4 linked regions of the Pelodiscus sinensis genome follow. The protein of the gene in region 3 purifies or fractionates together with the protein of the main gene of each other region. This does not show direct contact. Links are inferred from orthologs where the notes say so. Each region holds a gene or a part of one and is shown on either strand. Other genes may lie near its edges.

Evidence for each region.
Region 1: the proteins of ESR2 (region 3) and NUP205 purify together in Homo sapiens (affinity purification with mass spectrometry; 3 studies listed by BioGRID and IntAct, with this or other methods). This does not show direct contact. The link is inferred for Pelodiscus sinensis from reciprocal best matches to the Homo sapiens genes ESR2 and NUP205.
Region 2: the proteins of ESR2 (region 3) and PSMD1 purify together in Homo sapiens (affinity purification with mass spectrometry; 3 studies listed by BioGRID and IntAct, with this or other methods). This does not show direct contact. The link is inferred for Pelodiscus sinensis from reciprocal best matches to the Homo sapiens genes ESR2 and PSMD1.
Region 4: the proteins of ESR2 (region 3) and SRSF2 purify together in Homo sapiens (affinity purification with mass spectrometry; 3 studies listed by BioGRID and IntAct, with this or other methods). This does not show direct contact. The link is inferred for Pelodiscus sinensis from reciprocal best matches to the Homo sapiens genes ESR2 and SRSF2.

What each region holds. Positions count from the first base shown.
Region 1 is NC_134711.1:85,276,854-85,284,173, forward strand, and holds the start of NUP205 (nuclear pore complex protein Nup205), read right to left. Parts: upstream 3,007-7,320; 5' UTR 2,873-3,006; coding exon 2,845-2,872; intron 1-2,844. UniProt on the Homo sapiens protein: Plays a role in the nuclear pore complex (NPC) assembly and/or maintenance. May anchor NUP62 and other nucleoporins, but not NUP153 and TPR, to the NPC.
Region 2 is NC_134720.1:50,712,173-50,719,759, forward strand, and holds the start of PSMD1 (26S proteasome non-ATPase regulatory subunit 1), read right to left. Parts: upstream 3,021-7,587; 5' UTR 2,728-3,020; coding exon 2,712-2,727; intron 1-2,711.
Region 3 is NC_134714.1:15,611,081-15,618,232, reverse strand, and holds the start of ESR2 (estrogen receptor beta), read left to right. Parts: upstream 1-4,142; 5' UTR 4,143-4,204; intron 4,205-7,152.
Region 4 is NC_134730.1:9,789,359-9,796,712, forward strand, and holds the start of SRSF2 (serine/arginine-rich splicing factor 2), read left to right. Parts: upstream 1-4,354; 5' UTR 4,355-4,602; coding exon 4,603-4,964; intron 4,965-5,285; coding exon 5,286-5,589; 3' UTR 5,590-5,596; exon of another isoform or gene 5,597-5,900; 3' UTR 5,901-7,354. Other genes in the region: UNC93-like protein MFSD11, read right to left, coding at 3,914-3,940.

The sequences.
Region 1 (7,320 bases), on a different chromosome or scaffold from region 3:
AACATTGAAACATCAGAATTGTCAGTTTTATTCTGCTATTTCTCCACTCTACTTTCGCTGGCTGGCTAGGGTGAATCGCTTGTTGAACTTAAACTAAATTAATCTAGGCATCATGTAAACTGATTTATGAGCACATGTATGTGTATATAAGTTGCACTGGTTTAACTAAAACTGTGTCTTCATTGCAGAAAAGTTTAACTCTTTCATTGTGAACTCATGATAAGAGATAAGGCACGGATAATAGGGATATAAGCAAGTAGTTGACTACCCGATAAGTGTAGGCTTATCGGGTATTTGAGTTAACTACTTGGCTGCTTGCTTCCCCGCCCCCCTTTGCTGCCTCTGTATTAGGGATGTTAAATTGTGTTTAATAAGCTAATCAACTAGTCGAGGCACTACTCAACAACTCAATAAGCATATGTTATTAGAAGCAGCAGCGTGGAGGGAGGGCAGGGGAGGTTGCCACAAAGCAGCCTCTGCTTGCGGGGGGTCCCAGCTCCCCACCGGGACCCCTGTGGACAGGGGCTGCTAGACCCAGCATGAGCTGGGACTAAGCAAGCCTGGCTCAGTCCCCAGCTTGTGCTGGGTCTGGGACCTACCCCTGCTGCACCTCCCCCGTCGACTTCCCTTACTCCTCACCACTGCAAGGAATACTGTGGTTGACAGACCCGCTAAATCGAACCACAGAATATTGATCACTGGAGCATCAGTCCTCCAGTATTGTGGACAAGGCATCTATTTCATGCCATGATAGCTGAAGGAAGCCACTAAAATTTGTGAAGATAAAAAATTAAACTGGGGAAAGGAAAAAGGGAAGCTCAAAAAAGGGGGAGGGGGGACAAAAAACCTTTGGAGAGTGAACAGCTTTCCACTCTACAACATCTAGAAGATGAGACAAGAAATAGTAGGCTGCATTTCCACCATTTATTTGCTAAGCATGGAGTTCCTTAGCAGGATCCAGAAACAGTACCCTGGTGGGAATCACAGCATGTTGTTCCTTCCCCCTAGCTGGATTGAGGATAGTGTTTTGCGTGTATGTTCACAAGCATGCAGCACTCCATTACCAAGAGTGCCTCTAGACCCTGCTGCAATCCCATCATCCTCTCCCATACTCTCCAATGCATTTTAGTAGTTTATTTCAAGCCACAACAAAGATTTTTCCTTATGAAGAATAAGCCACATGCTACAGTCTCAAACTTTAAAACATGCACAAGGTTCATTTTACGTGAGAGAGTATTACTAGTGGCATCACATGTTTGTAGGACAGGGGCTAAATCTAGTTCAGCTATTTTCAATTTAAAAGTAGTACTGTTTCTAAAAGGATAAACTTAAAGAAATGGGCTGTGCCCACAAAAGCTCATGATACCGTCTACGGCTATCTACACTCACGGCTTCTTGCATGAGAAATATGCAAACAAGGCTAAGCGTGGAATATCGCCGAGCCTCGTTTGCATACCTAAAGAGATGCCATTTTTGCAGAAGAGGCTCTTGCACCAGAAGGAGCTGCCTACACTGCCCCTTCTTGCACAAGAAAAACCTGTTTGTGCAACGCCGCTAAACTGATTTTTTTCAGGAATAACGGCATTGCACAAGAGGGTTTTTCTTGCGCAAGAAGGGGCAGTGTAGTCAGCTCCTTCTGGTGCAAGAGCATCTTCTGCTAAAATGGCAGCTTATTAGGTATGCAAATGAGGCTCAGCAATATTCCACGCTTAACCTCATTTGCATATTTCCCACACAAAAAGCCGTGAGTGTAGACATAGCCTACATGTTTTGTTAGTTTTTAAAGTGCTATCAGACTATTTGTTGTTTTTTAAGTTTATCCTGTACAGACTAACTCGGCTACTGCCTGAAGCTTTTGTTCCTAAAAGATTAGGGTTCAGATTTTGATAATGTAGGGGCTGAAGAGAAAGTCCCTGCACCCATCATGCAGGACATGAACACCCCAAATGGCACCAAAGGGCAGTGAGAACTGCCCCCTAAAACTTTATCTCCCTCACGTTACTTGGGTTGCCAAGTCTCACAATTTTATCATTTATATTTCCGTAGTGACTAGGAAATCTAGTCTTTGTCCAGGACCCAATTGCACCAGATACTCTGCAAGAGTCCCTGCACCAAGCATTTGACAATCCATGAGGGAGACAAGAAATGAGAGATGGGGAACACAAGGTGCGTGTATTCATGTAAATGTGAAACTGATGAAAATTTCAGCAGTTACACGTGGGCGGGGGGGGAGGTAGCTCCCCACGTATCGGCTCCCACCCGCCCCCTGCACTGCTCCCTTTGATACAGACGCAGCAGCGCCGTGGGCGGCACTTATGTGTAACCATTCACATTAATCGCACACACGTTTGCGCTTCCACATCCCTTGTCAGCAGCACTAGCAGCCAGGAGGGGATCTGGCGACGCGGGGCCCCTGGGGTGTTTCTCCTCGGAGCACCTGCTCCTGCGATTATGCCAGACCCGAGGGGGGGGGGGGGGGTTCCTGGCTCGACCGAAGACGCGTTGCCAGGCACGGGGGCTGCAGAGAGCAGTGGGGGCCCGGCCCTAGACCTCGACCCCCCCCCCCCGGGCTCAGAAACTAAAAGGCAAAGGACCCCGCACCCCGGCTCTTGTGGGAGGCTTCCCGGGGCGGGGCTGGCGCACGGTCTCTGCCAGCCAGGCACACACGGGCGGGCCCGGAGCCGAGGGGGCCACAGATCTCGCGCCGCCGCCTCCTCTTGCTGCTGCACTTCTCCCCCCGCGGCCGTTCCCCTCGGGCGGGGCGGGGCGGGGCGGGGACAGGGGCCGCACGAGCCGGCGCGGCGCCGCCCCCTGTTACCGGCCTCGCGCTCGGGAGCCTTTTACCTGAATTTACCGCCAACAGCGCCGCCATCTTGGAAAGCAACTAACAGGCGCCGCCGCCGCCTCAGAGAAGCCCAGAAAGAGTTGGAGGCGCTTGAAGCGCTGCCTGCCTAGAAATACCGCTCTCCTCGCCGCCTACAGGGCACGCTGCTTCCCCTAAAATCCATAGTGGGATGGTCCCTAATACACTAATCAATTATACACCCCACTCCTGGTATTGGGTCCCTTTGAAACAGGCAGGGCTGCCTGTGGAAAATTGTGGGAGGGGGCCTTCGTGGGCTGCAATGCATGCCGGGAATTGTAGTCCATTTATGGATTATGGGAAGTGGCGCAAACTACTAAACTAAAGTTTCCAGGAAAAAAAACAACAGATACAGTAGCATCTTAAAAACTAACAAAATATGTAGATGGTTAGTCTTTACTGTGCTACTAGTCTATTTGCTGGTTTTTTGGTTTTAGTTTTTCCTGTTACAGATAAACTTGGCTTCCACCGCTGAAGCTTTTAAAGTTCCCAGGTAGTCCAGCTCTGCTCCCATACCCTTTACCCAGAGTGAAACCAGATGGATGGATATGCAGAAGCTTTATTCTGCTCACAAAACCACATCCCATTATCATGTTTGCACAACCAAGAAAAAATTCACAAGCACCAGGACCACTCCAGGGGACAAAATCTGCTCAACCCACCCTAGAATGGGAAATAATGTTATTTTGCTATCCTGTTTACAAAATATATACTTAGTTTCAAAAACTAGATTTCCAAAGATTATATTAATATAATCTATTTAAGTAGTCACAGCGACCAGCCTTTCCTACTTTAAACCATTTTGGACCCTTTATAACTTTTTCAGAAAATTGTTTTTAATAAACACCTGGAGTGCAGTGTAAAAATAACAGATTGCACATTTCATGTAATTATCTCAAAACACTTTTCAAGTGAGAAAACAGACAGGGCAGGCTGATTTACACAATGTTGCATCAATCAATATTATAGATCAATATCCTACAGAGAAACTGACCTCAAGTCTCCAGACTACTAGTTTAGCGACTGGAAACCAAAGAAAACATGTTTACAAAAATGACACAATTGTAATAAAAACAAATAATGACATCATGCAATTTAATTTATATTGTGGTATGAGTGTGAGTTATAATAATTATAGGTTTAATAGTAAAAGTCATTTGGAAATGTTACTGTGCTTGGTTCCTTCATATTATATATATTTGTATTAATGGTCTTTGTATTGCTGTGTTTTAATTTTATTAAAATATTTTTCAGTGGGCCTACTCACTAATAAAACTAGGCACATGTACATGTGACCACAAATGGACTTTTTTATGAGGCAATCAGATTCTATGCATGCAGTACTGTTGTAACTGTGTAGTTCCCAGGATATTACAGATACAAAGTGAATGAGCTAATACCTATTTTTGGACCAATTTCTGTTAGTGAGAAAGACAAGCTTCCTAGTGGAGCTCTTCTTCAGGGCTGAAGTAGGTCCAAAAAAAGATATTACCTCACCTATCTTGTCTCTCTAATCAGATTCTGTTTCATAACTCCTATCTCCCATAATTAACATAATATATATGTTTTATCCCTCTCCATTTTTCCTGCCTTCCTTTGTCAGATTCTGATGAACAAAGTGTCTTCCATTATATCCCTTTCTTTATAGCCATCACTGTGAAAAAAATATTCCTCAAATGTGTGCTATAAGGAAAGTGTGATTCCTTAATAGTGAAATTAATGCAGAGACAGTAGAAAATTTCTTAGTTTTTCAACTAAAAACTATAAATCAATTATCACATTTTAGGTTTTCAAAAACTGAATATCTTCAATTTCTGCAACTGTTCATTAAAAATCAGGAAAAATTTTAATGGAAAATATTTTTTTAAATGTGATGAAAAGGGACCTTTCTTCTGGAAAAAAAATCATTTACCAAAAAACAAACCCAAATTTTAATTTTAAAACATCTAAAGTTTTTTACCAATTCTACAAGCAAGTTAATTGGATTTGAAATCCTATTTCTTGTGGTCTTTGATTATGGAATAAAGCATCTAATCCTGAACACCAGGGAACCTACCCATCTCAGGCTATGTCTACAGTGCAGGCTTCTTGCACAAGAACACCCATTCTTGTGGAAAAATTTGCGGAGCCTCCACACTACAAGCCTGTTCTTGCACAAGAAAGTTTACAGTAGATCGTCATAAGAGAGGGTTTTTTGCTCAAGAATTATTCCTCTCCCCACGAGGAATAAACCTTTTTGTGCAAAAAGGTTGTGTGGACACTCCGCCGGTGCACTTCAACATGGAGCCAAGAACTTCTAAATTGTGGCAAAATAGATTATCAAAAGAAAGTTGAGGAAAGAACTGTCAGAAATAAAGAAAAGGCACAGAAAACAGTTAGACATATATCTGGAACTAAGGAAGGTGTACTAATATTTAACAAGTGTGATACATCTGAAGACTGTCTACTTCAGGGGTGGGAAATCTGGAGCCCACAGACCAGACGCAGTTCATCTGGGCTAGCCCCTAGCGGTCTGCCAGATACTTTGTTTACCTGAGCATTCACAGGGATGACCACTCACAGCTCCTGTTGGCCACGGTTTACTGTCTCCAACAAATGACAGCTACAAAAAGTGGTGGCCTGGCCTGCACCACCTCCCACAAACAGCAGCCAAATGAAGCATCTGGTGCTTGCCAGGGACTAACCCTGGTGAATTGTATCTGGCCAGCGCACCAGAGTTTCAGACACACCCTTTGGTCTATTTACTGCCCTTCTGTTTCAAAATAATATCTCTTGGAAGGCTTTCCTGTCCCAGTCACTATACTGATGGCAACTTTTCTTCAGTATATTCCCATAGAGATAAGAGATGCCTTCGAGAGACACATTCATGTCAGTGGCCAGTACTTAACATTTTCACACTTGAACTTTATTAAAATTAAGTTACTCTTCCTGCAAAATCATGTCCTTCAAACTATATCCATATAGAACAGACAGCAAATACTGAAGAAGTAGAGCGGACAAAAACAATTGGATAGGTGGGGAAAGAAAAAAGGCAATTCAGAGAAAGCAGAGACACTTGAGAGGAAGGATGAATTAATGAGAGACAAAGGAGGAAAAAAGACAAAAGCCAGAAGAAAGGGAATTACATTGGAGATTAATACAACCAAAAAAGGGAGAGATGGAAACAAAGGAAAAGAAAGGAAGAAAGAAAGAGAAAACCCATCCTGCCAGAAAGATTTCTTCTCACAGAGTTTGAAGGGTAGATATTTGAGAAAAGGATATATTTTCTTTTGGCTATTGCTCACATGAAACTAATTTGCTTATTTAAGTGAAAGACATTTTATACCACTAAACTCTTTCTCATTCTGGTCCTGGCCATTTGTCAGTTATGAATCTAGCCCACTCAAAGGTCAGGAAATGACAGAAGTGACAGGAGATTCAAACTGTCTTATTTCAGGTAGGAAAAAGTGTGTGAGGGAAGGGGTGGACATTGAAAGTAAAAAGATAAAGGAGAAAGCAAAAATGAGAAAGATTTATTTTGGCAGAAGGGAGGGTTGTCATGTTTCTTTTGACATTAAAATGTTTCCAGATTGTATGCATTTTTAAAAAATCCCATTGGAAGAGAAGATCCTCTGTAACTCCCACACATCTACCATTTAAAACTTCCAAATAATTCAACAACTTGCTCTGTCAATAGCTTAGATAACAACAACATGATGCAATGAAAAATGGGTCCGAGAGGGGCTCTTTAGATGAATGAATCTAGTGGGAACAGCATATAGTTTGGCCTTGTCTATACTAGTTCAACTTGGTGTGTGGGTGTGATTTTTACCCCAAATAGTTATATCAGTACAACTCAAGTGTTCTTCTTGCGACACCTGCCAGAACCTTACAGTAGTCAGGAAAACTAATGAAGCAACTAGCAAGTTGAATTTCAGGAGCATCAGCTCAATGAATCCCAGCACAGTAGGCACCGACAACACTAATGTGTAGCCCAGTATGCACATGCTAAATATATAATTGGTACAGTGATGCCTAACAGCAGTATAGCTTATTCCCTTTAACGTATGGAAATAAGGCATATTGGCATAATCTCTGTAGTCTTCAAATTAGGGAAATTGTACCACTTCATCTATCCTGGCACAGTCTACACTAGGAAAGTTGTACTTATTTAACTATACTGATAAGCTACATCTACACTACAAGGTTTTTTGCACAAAAACAGCTGTTTTTGCGCAAAAACCTGAGGAGCATCCAAACCTCAAATGAGCTCTTCACAATTAAATAGGCAGTTAAACGGCAGAACAGAGGGCTTTTTCTGCCGTAGGTAAACCTCCTTTTCTGAGGCATAACTGCTTTTAGCGCTACAGCTATTACACAAGAAGGCAAGTGTAGACGCTCCAGATGGGAAAAAGCACACGTGCTTTGATGGCCATTCTATGAATGGCGATCAGAGCTTTCTTGCGCAAGAGCGTCCA
Region 2 (7,587 bases), on a different chromosome or scaffold from region 3:
TCAATTAAGTAATCGAATAAGGGATTAAGGGATCTCCTTCAACTATTCGATTAGTCTATAAGGGCACTTTGAACTATAGCAAGAGTCCTTGCGACACTTCAAAAGCAGAGGCGGGGTCAGTGGGGGACTCCTGCTGGCCCTACACTCCCTCAGCCTTTGAAATGTACAAGAGCCCCAGTGGGAGTGCTGGGGGAAAGCCTAATAGAGGCAGCAAGGGAGGGAAGTGACTAGTTGCATCACTAGTTGACTATCCAATAAGCTTACATCCCTAGCACAGATCCTAGCTACCCCCTCCCTAACCCTGAAATGCCTGCCTGCCTGCACACAGCTCCTAGCTAATCCCCCTTTCTACATCTTGAGCTAACCCCCCCCCAGAGCCTCCTCCTGCCACAACCAAAATAGGCTGGGTGGCCTGTTGAGGTGAGTCAGGTGCTAAGGGGGCACAATCTCACTAGACTCCTATTGAACTGGCCTGAACCCTGCTAGCCCGTGCCCCCAAAACAGAGGTCATATTACACCTCTGCCCCCCCAGGCCTAGACCCCCAACACCTTCCTTCCCCCGCTGAGCCCTGGGGTTTTGATAGCATGTTGCGTGAGGGAGGGGCTACCGCATAGTTCAATGAGACCCTTCAAGCAATTTTACCAGATGTCATCATAGGGAAATATGGTCACCCTCGAGTAGGGATGTAAGTGACTAGACGAGTCACTGCTCGACTAGTTGCTTCGCCCCCCACTTGCTGCCTCTGGGAGCAGGAGCTGGTGTTGGGGGGGAGCCAGCTTAAAAGCTGGTTCCCCACAGCACCATCTCCGTGGGGGGAGGGGGGAGGGGCAGAGGCACAGTGGGGGACTGGACCAAGCTGTCCTGGCTCATGCCCAGTCCCAGACGCTACGGCTCTGCCTTTTAAACGTAGTAAGAGCAAGGTGGCTCTTACTACATTTAAAAGGCAGAGCCACAGAGGGGCTAGCTGCCACCCCACTGCAACTCTGCAATTTTCCCACCTTTCGACTAATCAAGTAGTCGATGGAAATTCCATCAACTACCCAATTAGCTAAACACAATTTAACATTCTTACCCTAGAGGCACCCTAAAATAAATGAAGTTTAACAAATACAGCTGAGAGTAAACCAGAATGCACATGGTTATTCTACAAGATCTTACCAACAGTTTTATCCTTACTGTGCCAAGCCCCATTTAGATTCATAGCACAAGTGCCCTATTTAGTTCAAAACAACGAGGAGTTTGGGTCTTTGCCCAGGAAAGCTTATGCCCAAATAAATCTGTTAGTCTTTAAGCACTTCTCATTGCAGACACAGACTAACATGGCTCCCCCACTCATACTATTCAGTGCAGTGACACTTGGCAAAGGATGAGCAGCAGCCCTGGAGCTTCAGGTGACTGGGGTAGCCTCTCCCACTGAAACCCCCCACATACCCAGGAACACACAGTTCTGATGCCATCTCTCCCATAGAGAAGATAAGGGATGATTTACTCCGCTAAAACCAATTCTGTGTTATTTAAGATTTTTGACGAGTAGTTATCGGGCCTGGATTTGCACTCACTAAGTAGGTAGGGTGGCCACCCACACATTCCCAGCATACCGACTATTCCGGTACTTCCAGAATGGATGTGGGCCTGCCTGTGTCAGCAAAAAGCTCACCGCCCCTTTGGCATGACCTCCCACACACATGAGCAAGGTCACGCCAGTGGGGGTGTAGCAGTGCACTTTTCAAAGAGATAACCCCCCATAAGATACCATACAAAGGCAGGCTCGGTTTTGGCTCAGTATTGGTCAGAATATCCACAAGAAAAGTAGGAGCATGGTTTAAAACAGGATAAAAGTTCTGCCTCTGAATAGGCATCCACACTGCAGGGGGAGGAGCTTAGAGTGGAAATCTGCTAAGTCACAATGGAGTTCAGAGCACCAATGAAAGTGGATCTTTCCTACAACTGAGGCAGCTGACACACACCCGTGGATATCAAGGACTAAAAGCATTTGGCCATTACTGTGACTAGTCCCTGAAATGTCTCTCGGGCAGGGAGTCCCTTTAACTACAGGAAGTTAAAAGCCAAAGCCCATCATTCAGTTATGGAAACGTTCAGACAAATACATGTGTCTTGAGATGGATGTTACTAAACCGGGAGCTGACATAATGAGCAAAAGAGGGCGACCTCTTCCGAAGGAGCCCAGCCCCTAAGTCAGCATAGTCCCTGACACTAAATGCTTCCCTAGCCAGTCTCCACGGCTGTGACAAGGTGATGGGGGAAGAGCTGTCTCCCCGGGGTGCGAGGGGGAGGGGTGGGGGCAAAACCACACAAACCGAAACGCGTTTCCCTTTGATAGCCGGGCTCCCCGGAGATCACCCGCTAAGCCCCCTCCAGATCACCGACATACATCAGACGGGGAAACTGAGGCACGTACATCAGTACGGTCACCGCCCTAGGTGGGGAAACTGAGGCACGTGGCGGCGGGCAGGGCCTCGCCCGAAGGTGACACAGCAGGTGGGGGCAGGCAGAGAGTCCCCCCCCCCCCTCCCCCTCGGTCCATTCCAACCAGCCGCAGCCCCCCCCTCAGCCGGGGAGGGGGGAGCCCGCGTGCCCCCAGTGGGGGAGGGGCAGCCGGGTGACCCGCCGGGGGCTGGGGGGGGGGGTCTCGGCCCGGCCTGACTCAGCGAAATCCCGGCGGGAGCCGCAGGCCCCGCCCCGCGCTCACCGGCCGAGGTGATCATGCTGCCGCTCGGCCTCGCCCGGCCTGGCCGCTCGCTGCTCCGCTGGGGGGGGCGGGGGGCTCGGGAGCCGCCGATGCCGGTCACTCGGGTCCGCGCTCTGCCTAGCGCTGCCGCCACCCGCCGCCTCCTTCCGGCCCGGAAGTGTCGTCAAAGGACCCCTCAGGCCCCCGGCGAGCTGGCCGCGCGGCTGCCCGACCGCAAAGTGCCGGCGGCGGCGCTAGGAAAATGCGGGGCCCGGCTCCGAAGGGCGGGGGAGGGGGCAAGGGCCGAGTCGGCCCCCCCCCCTTCCTGCGGGCAGGAGCCCGGTAAAAGTGTCAGGCAGGAGCTGGACTACCCCTCCCTGCCCGCGTCGCGTGGCCCCTGCAGGGGGAGCGTGGTGGCTGGGGCAGGCAGCCCTCACGCGCTGGGACCCGCCCCTTTGCCCCCCCGCAAATACACGTGCCTCGCCCCCTTTGCAGTTGGGGGGTTACTGGGCATGGAGCACTACAGGGGCAGGTGCCCCCCCCCCCTTTTAATTGGTCCATAGGCTCCAATCCCCACTGGCCTTTGCAGGCTCCCATGCAATCACAAAAAGCAGGAGCTATTCATGTGTTTTGCAAGGTTTAGGCTCCAGCACAGTAATGATGGTAAGTAAATAAAAAGAGGTCAGGCTCCATTCATCACATCTGGCAGGCAGGATGTGGCCCCTGCCCTTTGCCCATTGACACACTTCAAAGAGGGGTTAAACTTCTATGTGAGCATGCGAGTTTCCTTTCCCCCTCAAAAATCGGAAATGATGGCTGTAGGCTACATCGAGACTGGCATGATTTTCCGGAAATACTTTCAACAGAAAAATTTTCCCTTAAAAGCGTTTTCGGAAAAGAGCGTCTAGATTGGCAGAAAATCTAGACATGCTTTTCTGCAAAAAAGCCCTGATCGCCATTTTCGCCATTGGGGCTTTTTTGCGGAAAAGCTGTCTACACTGGCCCTTTAGCGCAAAAGGACTTTTGCCCGAACAGGAGCAGCATAGTATTTCCGCAAAAACACTGACAATCTTACATGAGATTGTCAGTGCTTTTGCGGAAATTCAAGTGGCCAGGGTAGACAGCTGGCAAGTTTTTCTGGAAAAGTGGCTGATTTTCCGGAAAAACTGGCCAGTCTAGACACACCTCTGCTGTGTACATGCAGAGGCACAATTCCTCCAATTCCACAGCCTCTATATATCCCAGCCACGGAGCCCATCGGTCCCCCTAAAACCATTGGACATGGAGAAGAGACACACAAGGGAGCATGTGAAAACAGGAAAGTTTAGGCTGAACATCAGGGGAAATTTCTAAGGGTTTGTCTGTACCTTAAACGAGCTTTGCTGCTATAAACTTGCATACAATATTAACTGTCCAGTCAGAGCCCAGCCTGCATTGGGCTAGGTTCTGTACAGACAACAAAGGTTCTTTCGGGCTAGCAGCCATCCTATGTAGTGAAGTGCTCCCAGCTTCTCCCACAAGTTGGTGGTGGGGGAGGAAAGGAGGGTGGGTTTTTTTTAAACCCACACAACTACAGGAATCCGGGCAAGGCTACAGCAAGAAAGAGCCCTCATGGTAGGTTTTCTCCTCATCTTATCAAAATTCACAAGCTGAAAAAGGGAAACCGAGCTATCTTCCTCTAACAAAATATTACCAAATCCCTCTCCCCATTGACCTGCCACTGTGTTTGCTGACACAACAGTGCAAGGTCCAAATGCCCCTTCTGCTTTTCATGTAGTGCCTTCCTTATCAGCACAGCATTTAGGCTTGTAGACTCGTGTTCTGGGGCCAGTTTGGATAGATCTGACACTCAGGTCAGGAAACTCAGAGGCTACACAGAAAACTGAAGTTTTACAAAGTTTGATCTGGAACAAAAGTTCTGACCCTGGTCTAGCAGAGTCAATTTCTGCAGATTCTGACCCAGAAGGAAAAGTATTTTTAAAAAATAATTTTAAGACACAACCCCCTAAGTCAATGTAGTTGATGGTGGCAGCATACACAAACAAGCCTTTGTGCTGCAATTATAACCACATTGGAAAAGGCAGCAGAGTGGCCCTGCTCCTAAATGAACAGTGCCAGGTATCCCAGTTCAACTGTTCAGTCACTAATTAAAGTCCATCTGTACTGCACAAGATGACCAATTTGGCTGGCACTATGGATTGCCACAAAGACAGGTTTCACTATTCTCTGCAGCGCAGAAAGGATTTACAAGGACTTCCATCTCCCCCAGCTTAGCTTACATCAAATCAATTGAAAGTCAAAGTCGGGTCCATATCAATGATATTGGAGGGAACATTCTGATGGACAGCAATAAAACTGCAGAAAACAATCTAGAATATAGAATTCACTGTAAATCTGTTTATTTATTCCTTACATCAAGGTAACAATGTCCCACAATTAGTCTCCCAATTAAATACATAAAACACCTGCTTCATCTATAAAAGGTCAGTTAACGCTCTTAAAAAATTCAAGACACTTTCCTTCTGTAGACGAATGTCCAGTGGAAGATACATGGGGGCCAGCTATTCTCCCGTTTACTTCCACATGCATCTAGAATGATTCCATTCACTTCAGTCAAGTCATTACAAGTGTAAATCTAGAGCAACAGTGCAGAATTTGGCCCCCAAGTCTGTATACATTTTGTGGGTCTCCACAGGGATATTTTAAATGGTTAATTCATGAGGCCTCAACAGATTACAAAGATTGACATAAAATGTCACTGCTGTTATGGGACTAAATTAGTATGAAAAGTTTAACTGTTATGGATACATCTACATTGTGGGCAAAAGTCAGATGAAGATGCGCAACTTCAGCTACGTTAATTGCATAGATAAAGTCGAAATAGCTTAATTCAGCTTTAGGCTCTGTCTACACAGCAGGGAATCGAAGGAAGAACACTCCTCCTTTGACTTCCCTTATTCCTCCTTAAATTAGGGTTACAGAAATTGGAGTAAGAAGCCCGTTATTTCGAAATGATTTTGGAATAACAGGCTTGCTGTGTAGACACGCACTTTGTTATTTCAAAAGAACGCTGCAATAGACACAGCCTTTGTGACCTGCTTTTAATTTAGAGATTAGAGGGGGTCATAAATATGTAACAGATTCAGATCCAATCTACACTACAGTTATGGTCAACGTAAGGCATCTTACGTTAGCTCAGCATGTACACCAGGATGCTCTTCTGCCAAAGTAAGTGGCAATCTACAGCAACATAACTCCACCTTCTTGAAAGATGTAGCGCATATGTCACTATAGATGCAGTGTCCATGTAGACATTGTGTTACTTATGTTGCCGGTAGGGCGTGAGCCCATGCCCGGCTGACAACTCTGGCTGCTAGTTGGGGAGAAGGTGGGAAGCAGGTATGGATCCCAGGCCTACTGGGCTCCAGCTGTCCGTGTCCCCCAGTGCCCCACTTCAGACAGTGGAAGTGGTCTCGGTGAGTACATGCACCACTGACAGAAGGAGCAAGTGTAGACATGAACCGCCACTTTAATTACTGAAGTGGCTGTGTGTCAACTTTACATTCATTTTCTAGCGTAAACGTGCCCTCTAGCTACTTGCAAAGCTCCCAAGATGAGCTGTGCAAGACACCAAGCATTAGCCTGCATTCGTTTCCACCAACTGAGCTAACAACTGCTTCTCAGCCACCCACAATCAATGACTTGACCAAATCACATTATTACATTTGCATTTTCAACTTGCTTGTAACCTCAAAGCATGTTTTACCTACAGAGTACCCTGTGGTCTGGAAGCAAGACGGTGCTGGTCCCCTCTATCTACTTTCTTACATGCCATGCCACTGAAGTAGAACCTCAGAGTTATGAGCACCTCAGGAACGGAGGTTCGTAACTCTGAAATATTCGTTAACGGTAAGAACAAAACTTTATGGTTCTTCTTTCAAAAGTTCACAGCTGGCTATTGATTTAATACAGGTTTGAAACTTTCCTGTGCAGAAGAAAAATGCTGCTTTTAGGCATTTAAATGAAACACACAGAAAGTTCTCTCACCTGGTCAAATCAATGTGTTGTATCAGGGATTTCCTGGCTTGTTTTGTCTCTGCTACTGCCTGATTGTATATTTCCAGTTCCAGATTAGGGTGATCAGTCAGTTCATAACTCTGAGATTCTACCTTATTGTATTATCTACCTCCTAGGGTCACTCTAAGGCCTTGTCTACACATGAAAGTTTTACACAAGTATAACTCCCAGTGTGGACACACATACTAAAATAAGCAACTGGGTAAGAAACTTTGTAGACGGGGGGGGGGGGGGGGGAGCAGTAGATAGCTTGACTGTAGCAAGGCATTTGATACAGTATGAATTACTCTCTCAGAACAAACTAGGGAAATGCAACCTAGATGGTGCTACTATAAGAATGGTGCAAAACTGGTTGGAAAACCCTTCTCAGAGAGTAATTATCAATACTTCACAGTCATCCTGGAAGGGCATAACAAGCAGGGTCCTGCTGGGATCAGTTCTGGGTCCGGTTCTGTTCAATATCTGCATCAATAATTTAGATAACGGCCTAGAGAGCACACATTTATATATGAAGATATACCTATCTCACAGAACTGGAAGGGACCTTGAGAGGTCATCGAGTCCAGTCACCTGCCCTCACGGCAGGACCAAGTACCATTTATAAAGTCTGATGACAATACCAAGCTGGGAGGAGTTGCAAGTGCTTCAGAGGATAGAGTTAAAATTCAAAATTATCTGGACAAACTAATGAAGGGGTTTGAGGTAAATAAAATGAAATTCAGTAAGGACAAATGCAAAGTGCTCCACTTAGGAAGAAACAACCAATTGCACACTACACAAAATGGGAAATGATTGCCTAGGGAAAAAAGTACTTCAGAAA
Region 3 (7,152 bases):
CTGCAAAAACTGCCCCTCAGCACACAGCTTGCTCTCCCTGGGCTGTCTCTCAGCTCCCTGTTTTTGCAGGACTTCTTCTGCACACAGCTTGCACTCCTTGGGCAGTAGCTAAGCTCTCTGTTTGCTCAGAGAGAGCCAGAACAATCCCAGCTCACAGGGAGGATGGGGCCTGGCCTCCCCCCTTCCTCACTGGCCTGTCCAACCTGTCAATCAGGCTGAGCTGGAGTGTTGGCTGCTTTCCATTGTCTCTGGGGTCTGTCAGTCTCATGAACTTTTCCCCTTCTGAAACTGGGAGCTGACAAACCAAAAAACTCCCACAGAGTTTTAGTAAGGGGTAACAGGTCCCTTACACTTGGTTCATTCAGTGAAATACCTACATTTGCTGAGCACTACCGGTGTTAGCAACTAAGATTAGCAAGTAGTATGAAGCAAAGGGAGGGGTAACTGCCCCACTCCAATGGTGCCCCTGCCTCCACTCTTAATGCAGCAGTCTTGTTTAAGATCCTGCTGCAGATGGCCCTACTGGCTTGACTATGATTTGTGATCTGGCTTATGATGGGTGTTCTTGACAAACTTGCAGGTAAATGCAATATCATGCATACAGGGAAGACAGCAAATTACTAAAATCTGTGCAAGACTTGTCTTATGTAACTAAACTTTTTACCAATTACAGCAGTGAAAACGGTTGTTTCTTTTTAGTCCAACATTTTTAAAAACAGACCACTTAAAGGCCAAGTTGTTTTAAGTGTTTGTATTGATCAAAGAACAAAACTCAACTGCTTCAATTGTTATAGATACTTTGAAAATCATTCAGTCACTTCAGGCAGCTTTGTAATTCACTTCTCTTTCCTCTTGTTCTCACAATAGCAGTATTATCTGTATCTTGACCTTTCCTTTTCTAGTCTGAATAAGATTGAAACATCCCTTCTTGCTCAGTAGGGCAGTTTTATTTAAGCACATTAGTTGTACAGTAAAAAAGAGACCTATTTGGCAACCTTGGATTGAGTACAATCATTGACATTTATAGAAATGCTATTGATGAAGACAGACATTCACTTGGTCACACCCATTCCCACACCAAATTATTTTATCCATGACTACTGCAAATAGGCAGTAACTTCATACCTCCACTCTCTGCTCCCTTCCCACACAAACTCTCTCGTCCAGATGCTTACAAAAACATAACTAAAAAGAACATTTTTGTTGCTCTGTGAAGAACACTTAATAATATACATTAATAAACTTGTGTCTTCCGTGATGCCTACAAAAGAAAATATTCAAGGTCTATCTGAGCAGTGAGCATGGCAGGACATATTTCGCAACAGTCATACAATTATCTCTATAGATTCCCACTCAACGATTCACGTGCCCAGATTTGAAGGTCCTGGCGTTTAAAGCAGTATTGACCATTGCCAAGCATTTTAAATAGTAAGTCTTGTGCTTTGGTAGCACAATTTTTATTAAATGTTTAGCAGTGGTATTATGCCCATCTTTGACATCAGGAGCTATACATTTTTAATTTCCTAGATGATTGACTCTTGGATTACTCATGCTCTCTAGGGCACCTATTATTTCATTTGGGCTCTGGATTTAAGCATAAATGAAATTGTATCTATTTTCTAGTCTATTCAGGATTTGACTTTTATTAGGACTATCCTGGATTTCTGGAATGGATTTACCTTTCTCCTTTAACGCCATATTGTGGAGCTGCAGAAAATGGTTCATGAGTTAAGGAATCACCTGTCTTCTCTTGCTCAGGTACACTGTCAAAAGGTCTTTGCCAACTTGGTAGGAGGCCTCTGTAATTTATCTAAATTCCCAGGCCCACCCTGGACTTCACAGCCTCATTGTGACATGGTATAATCCAGACTCTGGTGTGTCTAGACTACAGGGTTTTTTAGAAAAAAGTACCCTTTTTTTGAAAACAAACAAACAAAAAAAACCAACCTGCACCTGCGTCTAGACTGCAGCTGCGTTCTTTCGAAAGTAAATAGAAAGAACGTGGCAGTTTTTCCGATTGCAGTAAACCTCATTTTATGAGGAATATGCCTTTTTTCAAAAGTACTCTTTCGAAAAAAGGCGCTATTTAATGCAAACTGTACTTTTTTGAAAGAGAGCCTCTAGACTCGCTTTTCCAAAAAATCTGTTTGTAGTCTAGACGCTCTCTTTCGAAAGAGGCTTGTAGTCTAGACGTAGCCTCAGTAAAATATTGAACTGGTGGGTTCCTTTCCCAGAATATTTTCAGCCTTCACCAATTCACACAGCAGGTGCTGCAGTTGCATTCAATTTAGATCAACAGATGATATGGGGGGGGGGGACGCCAGCTAAAGGAGAGGGGGCCCATGCCCTCCCCACACAACACTTCTCCACTCCAGCCCAGGGCCCCTGCTCTCTCCTCATCACCCCACCCCATGTTGTCCGGGGTGGGGGCTCAGTCCCCTACGCTGGCTTCCCACAGCATGTTTGGCTGCTCTCCTGGGTGTAGTAGCAGGGGGCTGCCTCCCACCCAAGGTTGGCTTTTGGAACCAGTGGCTCAGTGAGTTGAGGAGGAGGAGAGCGGGGGGTAAAGGAGTGGCCTCTGGCTTGCTTGGCCACTGTCCCCACAAACTGAGCAAGGGTGGCAGCCTGATGTTGCTGTAGCCAGGCACTCTCCCAGTCAGTTGGGATGCTGCACCAGACAGTAGCTTTCTGGAAGAGGTTCTGGCTCCACCTCTTCCCTTTCAGCTCTAGTCCCGTTCCTTCCTCTTCTCTCCACACCCCCGGCTATGTCTACACAGCTTCCCTCTTCTGCAAAAGTCTATGCAAATGAAGTGTGGATTAGCATATTGCCATGCTTCATTTGCATAATTAATTAGGAGCCGTTTTTGTGCAAGAGGTTTTTGCACAAAAAGGCACTATCTACACAGTGCCTTTTTGCGCAAAAATCCCCTCTTGTACAAGAGCCGTTCTTCCTCATTTTTTCAGGAAGAATGGCTCTTGCACAAAAACCTTGTGCAAAAACGGCTCCTAATTATCTATGCAAATGAAGCATGACAATATGCTAATCCACACTTCATTTGCATAGGCTTTTGCGGAAGAGGAAAGCTGTGTGATATAGCCCTAGATTTGGTTTTGTTACCTATTTGGGGAGAGCAAGCATTCAGTATGGCTAAGTGAGATTACTCCCTGCAGTTGTGCTTTAATAGGTGATGGCCTTAAGTGAACAACTGCAGAAGCAATTTCGTAATAGAGAATGGAAGAGTATTTGCCGTTAACTAGGGTTCTCAAAATCCTAGTTTCTGCAGATCCACACTGACCCCTTCTTCTTCCCTTCTTTTGAGTTTCTTTTACTGTAAAAAGTTGGTGAGGAACTGAGAATCATTAGAAGTCCCTTTTTTAATGGAGGACATCATGTTAGTTCAGAGCAGCTGTACCCCCATTGGCTATACTGTTCTCAATGTTTCTGGGACTTGCTTGCATTATATCTTTATTGACATTAATTTAGAACATATTCTCCATCGTGTACTTTATTAACAAGGGGAACATACAGTCCAGTGTTACGTCTCTTCTCACTTCATTGTCTCAGCATTCTTAGATAGCTGGTAAATGCTGGCTTCGGCAGCTGTAAATGCTGTTATAATTATGCCATTCCATGCATATATAACTTCAATTTTAAATCTTCTACAGTATTTATAAGTAAAATATATTCATTTCAAGGCAGTCTTCTAATTTATATTAAAGAAATTGTTATATTAGAAGAATGATACCTCTTTTTCTCTCATGTAACCTTATATTTCTCGTTGCTTGTGTTTCTGGTTGCTTACCTGGTGTGTCTTTATTCCAACTAGTTATTTAGTACAATAAGTCCTTAATGCAAACAGCAGTCATATGGGACTCAAGGTTTGTAGTTACTATCTCCAGAATTATAGGTTTGGTTCCCAGCTGAGATTATAAATGCTGATCTTTTAAAATACAGTTCACAAAGAGATGTATTTTAATGCTACTCTTAATAGTTATTTAGGATATATGGTGCCTGTAGTATTGCAGCTGTAGTGTTGTAAAAGGCTCTTACAGAAATGCACACATGCCACACCATTTCCTGCCAGGTGCTCATTGTTAAATAGGGAGCTGTGGTTTATTAGCAGCAGTTTTCTTTTGCAGCAGTCTGACACTCTAGCTCCAGGGTGGGCAATAGTTTTTGCAGGGGGCCACTCCACGAGCTTTGGTAAGTCATCATGGGCCACACATTTCTACTATTTGAGTTTGGGTGTAAGAAGGAGCTCTGGGACGCCACTGGGGTGCAGGGGAGATAATGTGACGTGTAGGGAGGAGTTTGAGTGCAGGAGGGAGCTTGGGGCTGGTGCACAGTGCTGGGGTGCAGGAAAGGTTAAGGCATCTGGGTTCTGGGAGGGTGTTTGGGTGCAGAAGGGGCACTCTGATCTGGGGTAAGGGGTTAGGGTGTGGCACAGGCTATGGCCAGGAGGCACTTTGCACAGGCAGCTCCTGTCCCACGGTACAGTGGGGTACTCAGGCTACCCCAGAAGCTGCTGTTGCCATGTTTCTGTGTGCCCCTTGAGGAAAGAGAGGCAGTGGACCTCTGAGCACTGCTCCTTCCCCCCAACACTGTCCTCATAGCTCTCATTGGCTGGAAATCAGCCAATGGGAACTATGGGGACAGTGCTTGTGGGCATGGGCAATGCACGGAAATCCGCTGTCTCACTGTCCCCAAGAGGCATGAAGAGAGAGACCAGCAGTAACTGGCTGCTTTTAGGGCCATGGCAGGCAGGCAGCCTGCCTGAGTACTCCTCTGAGCCACGGGCCGTATTTTGTCTACTCATGCACTAGCTGCATCTCAGGGCCCAGATTCACACTTGGCTACTGCAGAGGAAGGTAGAGCTGTAAGGGGCTCATTACCTCATCAGACCTGAACGTAGGCCTTTGGCTGTGGGAGGTGGGGTAAGGGTGGGTGTGCTGCTTGTGAGCCTCGCGGTGGGCAGAGTGGGGAATTATGCCTGAGCCCTGCTTCTGAGACTGACTGGCTGTGGCACAGGGGAAGCACTGTGACACCCTAAGGCAGTGGTCCCCAACCTTTTGGGGTGCCGGGCGGTGCACGCGCCGCGCGCCCGGGGGCGGGGCCGTGCACGCACCGCGCGCCGGAGGCAGGGCCGTGCACCCGCCGCGTGCCTGGGGGTGGGGTCGCCCATGCGCCGTGCGTCCGGGCACTTGGCGGGCACACATAAATACCCGGGCGGGCACCTGCAGGCACTGCATTGGGGACCACTGCCTTAAGGGGACTCTGGCAGCAGTGCGTGTGCTGCTGGCAGGGTGCAGAGCACTCATTGTGAGCTCTGTGCGTGACTCCCCAGTGGTGCAGGCAAGAACTGGCAAGGCGGCTAAGGGCAGGACATGCTGGGCCACGTGGCCCTGAGCGAAGACGCTGGACGACCTCATGGCACCCCAGGAAATCAACACATAGCCAGCCCCAATCAAGGGATAGGACTGTGGTACCCATGGGATTTGAATCTTCCTCAGCACTGAGGAGTGGAACTCTCAGGGGATGGGAGGCTGCCAGGAGCAAGTGCCTCTGGGGCAACTCAAGCAGTGGCAGGGCAGGGATGGTGAAGGCCACTGTGGTAGTTGTCGTACTGATACCCTCTCTCTCCAGGGAGCCTGCTCCAGGCAGGCCTGGGTCTGTGCGCTGGGGAAGGGAGATTGGGTGGCTCCTCAGCACAAGCACCTCAGTCCCCACAGACTAGTCTGTGCTTGCTCTAGATGCATGGGCATGGAACTGGTGAGGCCTCGTCTCGGAGCACTGGCGGGGGACAAGTGGGCCCCCCCCCCCTTAGCCCTTCAGAGAGCTGGAGAGGGGGAAGACTAGTGAGTCCCCCCTCAACCATTTGGAGAGCTGGAGGGAACTGGTAAAGCCCCCTGTCAGCATGTTTGAGAAGCAGAGAGGAGGAAACCAGTACTTGAGAGAGCTGGGGAGGGAAAAGGCAGTGAGGCTCCCCCACCCCTCCCCTTGGAGAGCCAGGAGAGGGAAGCTGGTAAGGGCCCCCTCCCTGACCCATGTAGAGAGTGGTGATGGTGGACCTGTGAGGCCCCTCTCCTCAGCCTGTTTGAGAGCCTGGGGAACCAGTGAGGTTCCCCATTAGGGCTTCAGTGTACGGGAGGAGGGGGACTGGTGCCTCAGCTCTTCAGAGAGCCAAGGAGAGGGAAATTAGTAAGGTCCCACTTCAGCCCTTCGGAAAGCTAGAGGGGGGTATGGATGCAGCCCACTCTCAGCTCATCAGAGCGGGCTGGGAGGAGGGAAACCAGTGAGGCCTTCTCTCAGCCCTTCAGAGACCGGGGGGCTTAAGTCCCCCCTAAGCCTCTTGGAGAGGCGAGTGGAACTAGTTGAGGCCTTTCAATCCTTCAGAGAGCTGGGAGAGGGAACCAATGAGGGCTCCTCAGCCATTCTGAGAGCTGACGGTGGGGTGCGAGGGTGTGTGTGGATGGTGAGGCTCCCCACAACACCCCAGAGAGCTGTGGGGAACTGAGGAAACCCCTCTCAGCCCTTTGAAGAGCCATGGGGGAGAACGGGTAAGACTCCCCTGCCCCTCAGAGCTGGGGAGCAGGGAACTGGTGAGCCCCCATCCCTTCCAAGAGCTGGGCGGGGGAAATGAGTGAGACTACCTCAGAGAGCTGGGGGGTGGGCACACCTCCCCCTCAGCCCTTGGACAACACGGGGGGAGGGGCGGAAGAGGGGGAAATCAGGTGAGGCTCTCCCTGTCCTTCTGAGAGCTGCGGGAAACAAGTGAGGCCCCAGTGCTTCAGAGAGCCAGGGAGCAGAAATTGATGAGGCCCCTCAAGATTCTCTCAGAGCCAGGGGGGCAATGGGTGAGGCCTGCCCCATAACCCTTCACGGTGCCAGGGTAGGGAAGCTGGTGAGAGTCAGCTCCTCAGAGAGCTGGAGAGGACTGGTGAAACCACTCCTCAGCACCTTGGAGAGCCAGAAGGGACCAGTGAGGCCTCCACCCAGCCACTCAGAGAGTCGGGGGTAGGGTGGGGTGGGAACTAGTGACACTCGCAGCCCTTCTGAGATCTGGAGGGGGGAAATGGGTGAGGTCAACCCTCAGCTCTTCGTAGAATGGAGGGACATGGAATTGGTGAGCCTCCCTCCCTCGGCCCCTCAGA
Region 4 (7,354 bases), on a different chromosome or scaffold from region 3:
GAATGACAGTTCAGAGGATTCCCTTTCAAGTGCAGATGTAAAAGGTCTTTGTAGCAGAATGAGGAGTGCATGTTCCCCACCTGGGGCAGGCTCATGTTCATCTGTTCCCTGTGTTCCCGTCAGAGTGAGGAATGAAGCAAACTGCATTTTCCACTTGCTCCCTGATGTAGGGGGACAGCTAGCAACATCCCTGTATGTATTGGGGATGAGCTTTAGCCCACACTTCCTAAAGAGCACCTGGGGATGAGAGGCTCAAGGCTGGGGCAGTCCTGGAGGGGTGTGGGAGGCCGGGGGACAGGCTTCCAGCCAGCCTCTTTCACCTTCCTGCTGATTCTGTCTCTTTTCTGTTAGGTTTTATGAGAAAGAATCCCATTTTCTTGGCACAACTAAACCCTTACTTTGTTTTAAGTTATAAGAGAAAGCTGTATACCAAATTTGGTGGTCCTAGCTCCTACTCTTTAGGAGGAAAAGCTTCAGAGGGATAGCCAAGTTAGTCTGTAACTAGATAAACTTAAAAAATAACAAATAACCTAGCAGCACCTTAAAGACTAACAAAACATGTAGATAGTATCATGAGCTTTTGTGGGTACAACCCACTTCTTCAGATGAATGAACACCATTTTTTCTATCTAGGAGGAGTTCTTGAACACACAGACAGACAGAATCTCACATATGGCAGATTTTCACTACTGAGTATTTATTAAACAAAGCACTATACGAAGAACAAAAAGTAAAATCTTAATACTAGCTTTTAAAAATCTCTCCTTCACACTGTAATCCCAGAGATCTTTGGAAATGAAGTCTCCTTCATTTCAATTTATTTTCTTTTTAAACAAAGTAATGTCTAAAGGTCACAATCATAAACATTTAATAATGAGCTACGTAAGTATTAGTCATTATTATTATTGTTAGTAGTAGTAATAGTAGTAGAGGTATTATACTAGTGTAATTGAAAACAATGACAAATTTCCCACTTTCACACTAACACTGATACAGCACCACAGGTTAGTGAAGTATGGTCACAGTCCAAGTATGGATAGGCAGATTGTATCTCTTCTATACCAGTTTGAGAAGGGATAGATACTGTGACCAGATGTCCTGATTTTATAGGAACAGTCCTGATATATGGGACTTTGTCTTATATAGGTGCCTATTACCTCCCACTTTCCTGATTTTTCACATTTGCTATTTGGTCACCCTAAGTGTAGACAACTGAGAAGTAACAATTCCAAATTCCAGTCTATCTCAGTACTCTCCCATTGTGTGCATCTAGACTACATTCCTCTTTCGAAAGAGGAATGTAAATGAAGGAAATTGAAAATGTAAATGAAATGCAGATTTACTCTTGCGCTTCATTTGCATAATCACATCTGATTGCTTTTTTTAAAAAGTTTTCGGGAAAAAAAAGGTAGTCTATATGCGGTTCTTTTGGAAAAAACTTTTTCAAAAGAACCCTTATTCCTGAAAAAATGAGGTTTATAGGGTTCTTTCAAAAAAGGATTTTTTTCGAAAGAACCGCGTCTAGACTGCTTTTTTTCTAAAAAACCTTTTTTGAAAAAGTGATCGGACGCGATTATGCAAAGGAAGCATGAGATTTGTAAATCTGTGCTTCATTTGCATGTTTGATTTCCTTCATTTACATTCCTCTTTTGAAAGAGGAATGTAGTCTAGATGCAGCCACTATTGCTACCATCCCAATAAAGAAACTACCAGGATATGTTTGGGAGGGAATGCTACTTTCACACACTATGGCAGGGTGGGATTTGGCACTTGAATGGGATACCCCTTCCCTGACCACAGTATAGTGGCACGGAGTGTGTTTGGCAGGGAAAAGAAAGGGAAGGAGTTTTACACAATACCCGGACACCAGGGGCAGATGACCATTTTGCGGGGCCCAGAGCAGCACAATTTCGCGGGGGCCCCCTTTGCCACGGCGCATGCACGGTGGCACCACACGCATGTGCGGTGGTGCCACGGCGCATGCGTGGGGCTTCTTGAAGCGCGGAGCTCGGGGCGGCTGCCCCACTCGCCCTGCCCTATATCCGCCCCTGCCGGACACTACACTTGCAGCTTGAGGTAGAGCCTCATGCTATCCTTGAAATAGCAGAACAAGTGGGTATGAATGTGCTGAGAGTTTCAGTTTGTATCTCCCACACTATGTGGATTCAGTAGTGGAGGGTTAAAATGACATTTTCTGCACCCAGGTTGAAAAGGGAGAGCATGGGCATGTAGGCAGAGCCCAAGCATAATTTTTTCAGGCAGGTACAAATTTGTAACAGGGGCCCTGTCCTGCACACACAGCACAATTTGCAGCCTGAGCTGCGCTCCACCCTCCTTACATTCAGGCGCAGGTAAAATGTACTCTTCCTCCTATGTGGGGGCTCTGTATGTAGAAGGATCCTTAACACCGCTGCACCAGCATTGAGTTTCGTGCACTGACCCATACAGTGGCAATCCACAGGACTTGACCAACAGCAGCGAAAGCCGCTCGCCAGCCCCGCATTGCGCATGCGCACGCCGCCAGTAAACGGGGCGTGTGGCTGAAATCTAGTCGCCATGGGCGAGTAGATTCTATAGTCTGTCGAACCCTGGCGATCCATGTGCGGGGAAGAAATGGGGCTTTAATGGGAATGGCTAGCATGACAGCTGCATGTGTGTGCCCAAAAGGGGCATATGATAAGGGCTCCCATCCCGTAGAACACTGGTCACCAACCAGTAGATCGGGATCTACTCATAGATCTTGGTCTGTAACAGGTGATCCTAACTGGTTTGGCCAAGAGGTTACTGAGCCCAGCACTTCCGTTTCCCCCCACCCTCGAGACTGCTGCACGTCTCCTGCCTTTTCCCTTGGAGCTGTCTCCTCAGGAGCCTTTGTTTTTCTGTGCGGGGCAGGAGAAAGAGAGGAGGGGGTGCTAATGTCAAGGAGCCCCCTCTCCACCCTGTATCCTATCTCTACGGGGGGGTGGGGAGGTAGAGGGGGCCACAGCAGGACTCGGGATGGAGGGAGTTTGCTGAATGCTTTTGGAACTGGTGCAGGACCAGGGCGGGGGTGAGCCTGCCTTAGCCCCACTGAGCCACCTGAGGTAAGCAGGAGCCACCTGAGGTAAGCAGTGCCCAGCTGGTGCCCACATCCCAAAACCCTACCCCAGTCATGAACCTTCTCCTGCGCCCCAAACCCCTGCCCTAGCACCCCTGCATCCAAACACCCTCCCAGAACCTGCACCTAGAACCCCCTCTGGCACTCCAACTGCCTGCCCCAGGCTTAGCTCAGAACTCCTCTCACACTCCAGATCCCTTAATCCAAGACCAGAGCACCCCAGCCCTCTGTCCCAGACTGGTGAAAGAGATCGAGGGTGAGGGAGGGAGGCTAGAGCGAGCAGGGCCAGGGCCTCAGAGAAGGGGCACAAAAGAGGTGGGATATGGGTATCTGGGCTTGAGGTAGATCTTGGATTGCAATTAAATTAAAAAAGTTAGCTCCTGCTTGAGAAGGCTGGAAACCACTACCATAGAACCAGAGCCCCAGATGGTGCATGCATGGGGTGGGGTCCAGCTGCCCTCGCTGCCAGTATCTCCAGGGTTGCCATGTGGCCAGTTGTGAACCACAGTCCAGTATTTGAGCTTTCTGTTCGGGAAACAAATTGAGAAAATATAAATGTCCGGTATTTTCTAAATAAGATGTAATGCAGATTGTGATGTCATGTCAAGTGTGTTTTGTATTTTTGTTGAAACCATCTCTAAAGCGGGTGGCTCCTCACTGACCAACCCCCAATACTGGTGACTGTGCACAGTCACTGCAGCTTAGGGTGAACTTTGCTATCGCCTCCTCCCGTGCCCTGGAGCCGGGTTCCTGTCCCTGTCATTCATACACAACACAGCCTGGCAGGCTCACACCTTCCCTCCCCCTCACACCCACCAGCCCTTTCTGCTGATCGGCCGCCATTTTGAAACGTTTCCTTCCTCAACTGCTCCGCGCTGCTTCGGCGCGGGAGGCTTCGCCCAGAAATCCCGCGTTCTGTGGAGTTTTCCTCCTTTCCCCACGGCACGAACATTCACTCTTAATCTTTGTCCCGATTTTCAGGCCACATTTCTTTCAAAATTTCCCCGCCTCAGACAATCCCTTCCGGGGTCACGGCTTAGCGGCCCCAACGGCCCCTTTGTGGGATCGCCGAATTATTCGTTTAGATTCGGACACATCGCAGATGTTTCGCAACCGCTTCCGTAAACCTCGTAAAAAGATGAAAAATAATGCAGCAATCGTGTTAGGGACGGAGAGAGCACGAGAGGCGCGCGCGGAGACCCGCTTCGCTTCCGGGTCAGAAGCGGCCATTTTGTAGCGTTAAGTAGGAGGGCGCGGGCTCCACCTTGTTCATTTGCTAGTAGCAGCGGGAAGAGGCGGGTGGTGGCTGTGCTGTATTTGCCCTCCCACATTCTCGGCCTCGCCTTTACTGGGCTGTTTTCTGTCGTTTTCCAGATTTCTGTCCTGAGTTCGGGCCCGCTTCCTGGCTTGAGGACCCTCAAGGCCAGACCCGCTACCGACTCTCCTGATCGCTTCGCCCGGTTTCTCTTTTCAGTACCGCCGCCCCTCGGGGGCCTCTGCCCGCCATGAGCTACGGGCGCCCCCCTCCCGATGTGGAGGGCATGACTTCCCTGAAGGTGGATAATCTGACCTACCGCACGTCTCCGGACACGCTGCGGCGGGTCTTTGAGAAGTACGGGCGGGTGGGGGACGTCTACATCCCCCGAGACCGCTACACCAAGGAGAGTCGCGGCTTTGCCTTCGTCCGTTTCCACGACAAGCGCGATGCCGAAGACGCCATGGATGCCATGGACGGTGCAGTGCTGGATGGGCGGGAGCTCCGAGTTCAGATGGCCCGTTATGGGAGGCCACCGGACTCGCATCATAGCCGCCGGGGTCCACCGCCGCGTCGATACGGAGGTAGCGGTTACGGACGCCGCAGCCGCAGGTGAGGATCAGGCGGAGGCGGGGAAGAAGATTGCTTCCCCGGGGCGATAAAGGGCTGGGGGGGGGGAGCCTGGGGAAAACCACTGTCCCCAATGTGACGCGATGGGGGAGGGGGTTTCCTAGCTGGGGAGGCAGGATCGGCGCGAAAACTCAGTTCTATAGAGCCACGTGGTGGCGGGAGGGTTCGGGGGTGGCTGGAATTATTCCTCGGAATAATGGCGTTTCGTAACCGCCACGAGGGGGGGGGGGGTGTTCCGCCCTGACTGGCCCAGCCGTATCGCTCTTTTTTTTACGTCTAACTGAGTGATTTTTAACGTTCTAGCCCCAGAAGACGTCGCCGTAGCCGATCCAGGAGCAGGAGCCGCTCTAGGTCTCGCAGTCGATCCCGCTACAGTCGGTCCAAGTCCAGATCCCGCACACGCTCCCGATCTCGCTCCACCTCCAAGTCTAGGTCTGCCAGGAGATCCAAGTCCAAGTCGTCATCCGTCTCCAGGTCCCGATCCAGATCGAGGTCCCGATCCAGATCTAGAACCCCCCCACCAGCCTCAAAGAGGGAATCTAAATCTAGATCCAGGTCTAAGAGCCCCCCAAAATCTCCTGAAGAGGAAGGAGCTGTATCCTCTTAGGAAAAAGGTAATGTAGTTGGCGCTCTCTGCATGTTGCATGATACTTCATAATAGCACTTACTGGGGTGTATTGGGATAGTTCTTACCATCTTAAGAAACACTGAATCCTAGTGGGACACACTGTTAGCGTTTTGAGTAGACTTTTCAGTTACTTGGTTAGGAAACTAAATTTCTGCAGGGGACATTTTCATGTTTTTTGTTTAGGGATTAATGGTTTGGTTTTAATAAAATATTGTATGAGACGCAACCTATTAATGAAAATGACTATTTCTTGCTGTTTTTATCCAACATCTGCATTTTCCCCTTTAAAGCTGCGGTCTCCTGTTTGCTAAAAGAATATTGGCCAGTATTGCAGATTTTAACTGATTTGGCTGATCCTCCAGGGACCAGTTTCTGTGGGCGTGTTTTGGAGCAGGTTTGTCTTTAAAAGTTAAAGATACACTATCCTTTTATAATGGAAAATCTGTTCAGTGGTCATTGTACTGACTGAAGGTAAAGTAATTCTAGAAGTGGCAAATGCAATGCAATAAAAATGGAAACTGGTTTTTCCTCGAACTTTAGAGGCATCTAAAAATATCCTGGGTGGGGAAAGGATAGTGTGTCTTTAACCCCTCAAACTATTTGGTCCTGTTTTTAAAATGGAAATAGGTATGAGAACTGTGAGGTTAAATAATTAGATTAAATTTCATGGTAGTGTCTCTTATTGAATGCCAGTAGGAAAATTGAGATTTTTACAAAATAGTATACAAATGTTAGTATTCATTATAACTTATATGGGCTAAAGTCGAGTAAGTGTATGACTTTCACAGCCTGTTGCTTGCTCTTCACTAACTCAGTTTAAACTAAGTGACTGTTAAAACACTTCGTCATGATCATCTTTGAATTTTAAATTTGGCCTTTGAAGAGAGGCAATATGGTGATAAGGGGGGGGGGGAGAGGGGAGCACTGCACATAATCCTTAATAAAACTTAATTTAATTAGACAAAGCCAGTTGAAACGCAACCAGAAGCATACTTGAAGTCATCCAGGTAATTGGGAAGGTGCATGGTGGAATCCTGACTGAACTGTTTTCTTTTCAAACCTAGATGCATCAGATAAATGAGAAATCAACATAAAGGACACATCTGGGGTGGAAGATCCTTTGAATCTTCAGTCCATTGGAGAGACCCCAGGCACAAGCAACCAGCTGTTGAAAAGGTTATTTTGTAACATTTTTGTCTTAACTTTTTACTTGTTTTAAGTTGAGCCTCAAATGGCAGACTTTACATTTTATGTGCCATTTTGTTGCTGTTATTCAAATTTCTTGTAATTTAGTGAAGTGAACGACTACCGATTTCATTATTGGCTTGGATATTTGAGGTAAATTTTCATTTTGTTTATATAGTGCTGACTTGTTTGACTTTTTAAAAAAACTAATGGCAACTTAATTGATTGCCTCAAGTTTCATGTTGAGGAAACATGCAGCCATTACATGCTGAGTAGCTGACTGTCAAGGAAATGTTTTCCAATTTGCCTTCATTCCTTCAATAAAATTCTGCAAAACTTCTTCAAATGTAAACTTATTGTAAATGCTATTTACTTGGAATTAAAATAGTATTGTCTGTTCCAAATTTGTATAAAACTTTTTTCAGGTGACAATTGATTTTTGAAAAGACTGTTTTATCAGACTCAATTCTAATCTCTTCTCTTATGTATTTTTGTGCACTAGGCGCAGTTGTGTAGCAGTTGAGTAATGCTGGTTAGCTGTTAAGGTGGCGTGTTGCAG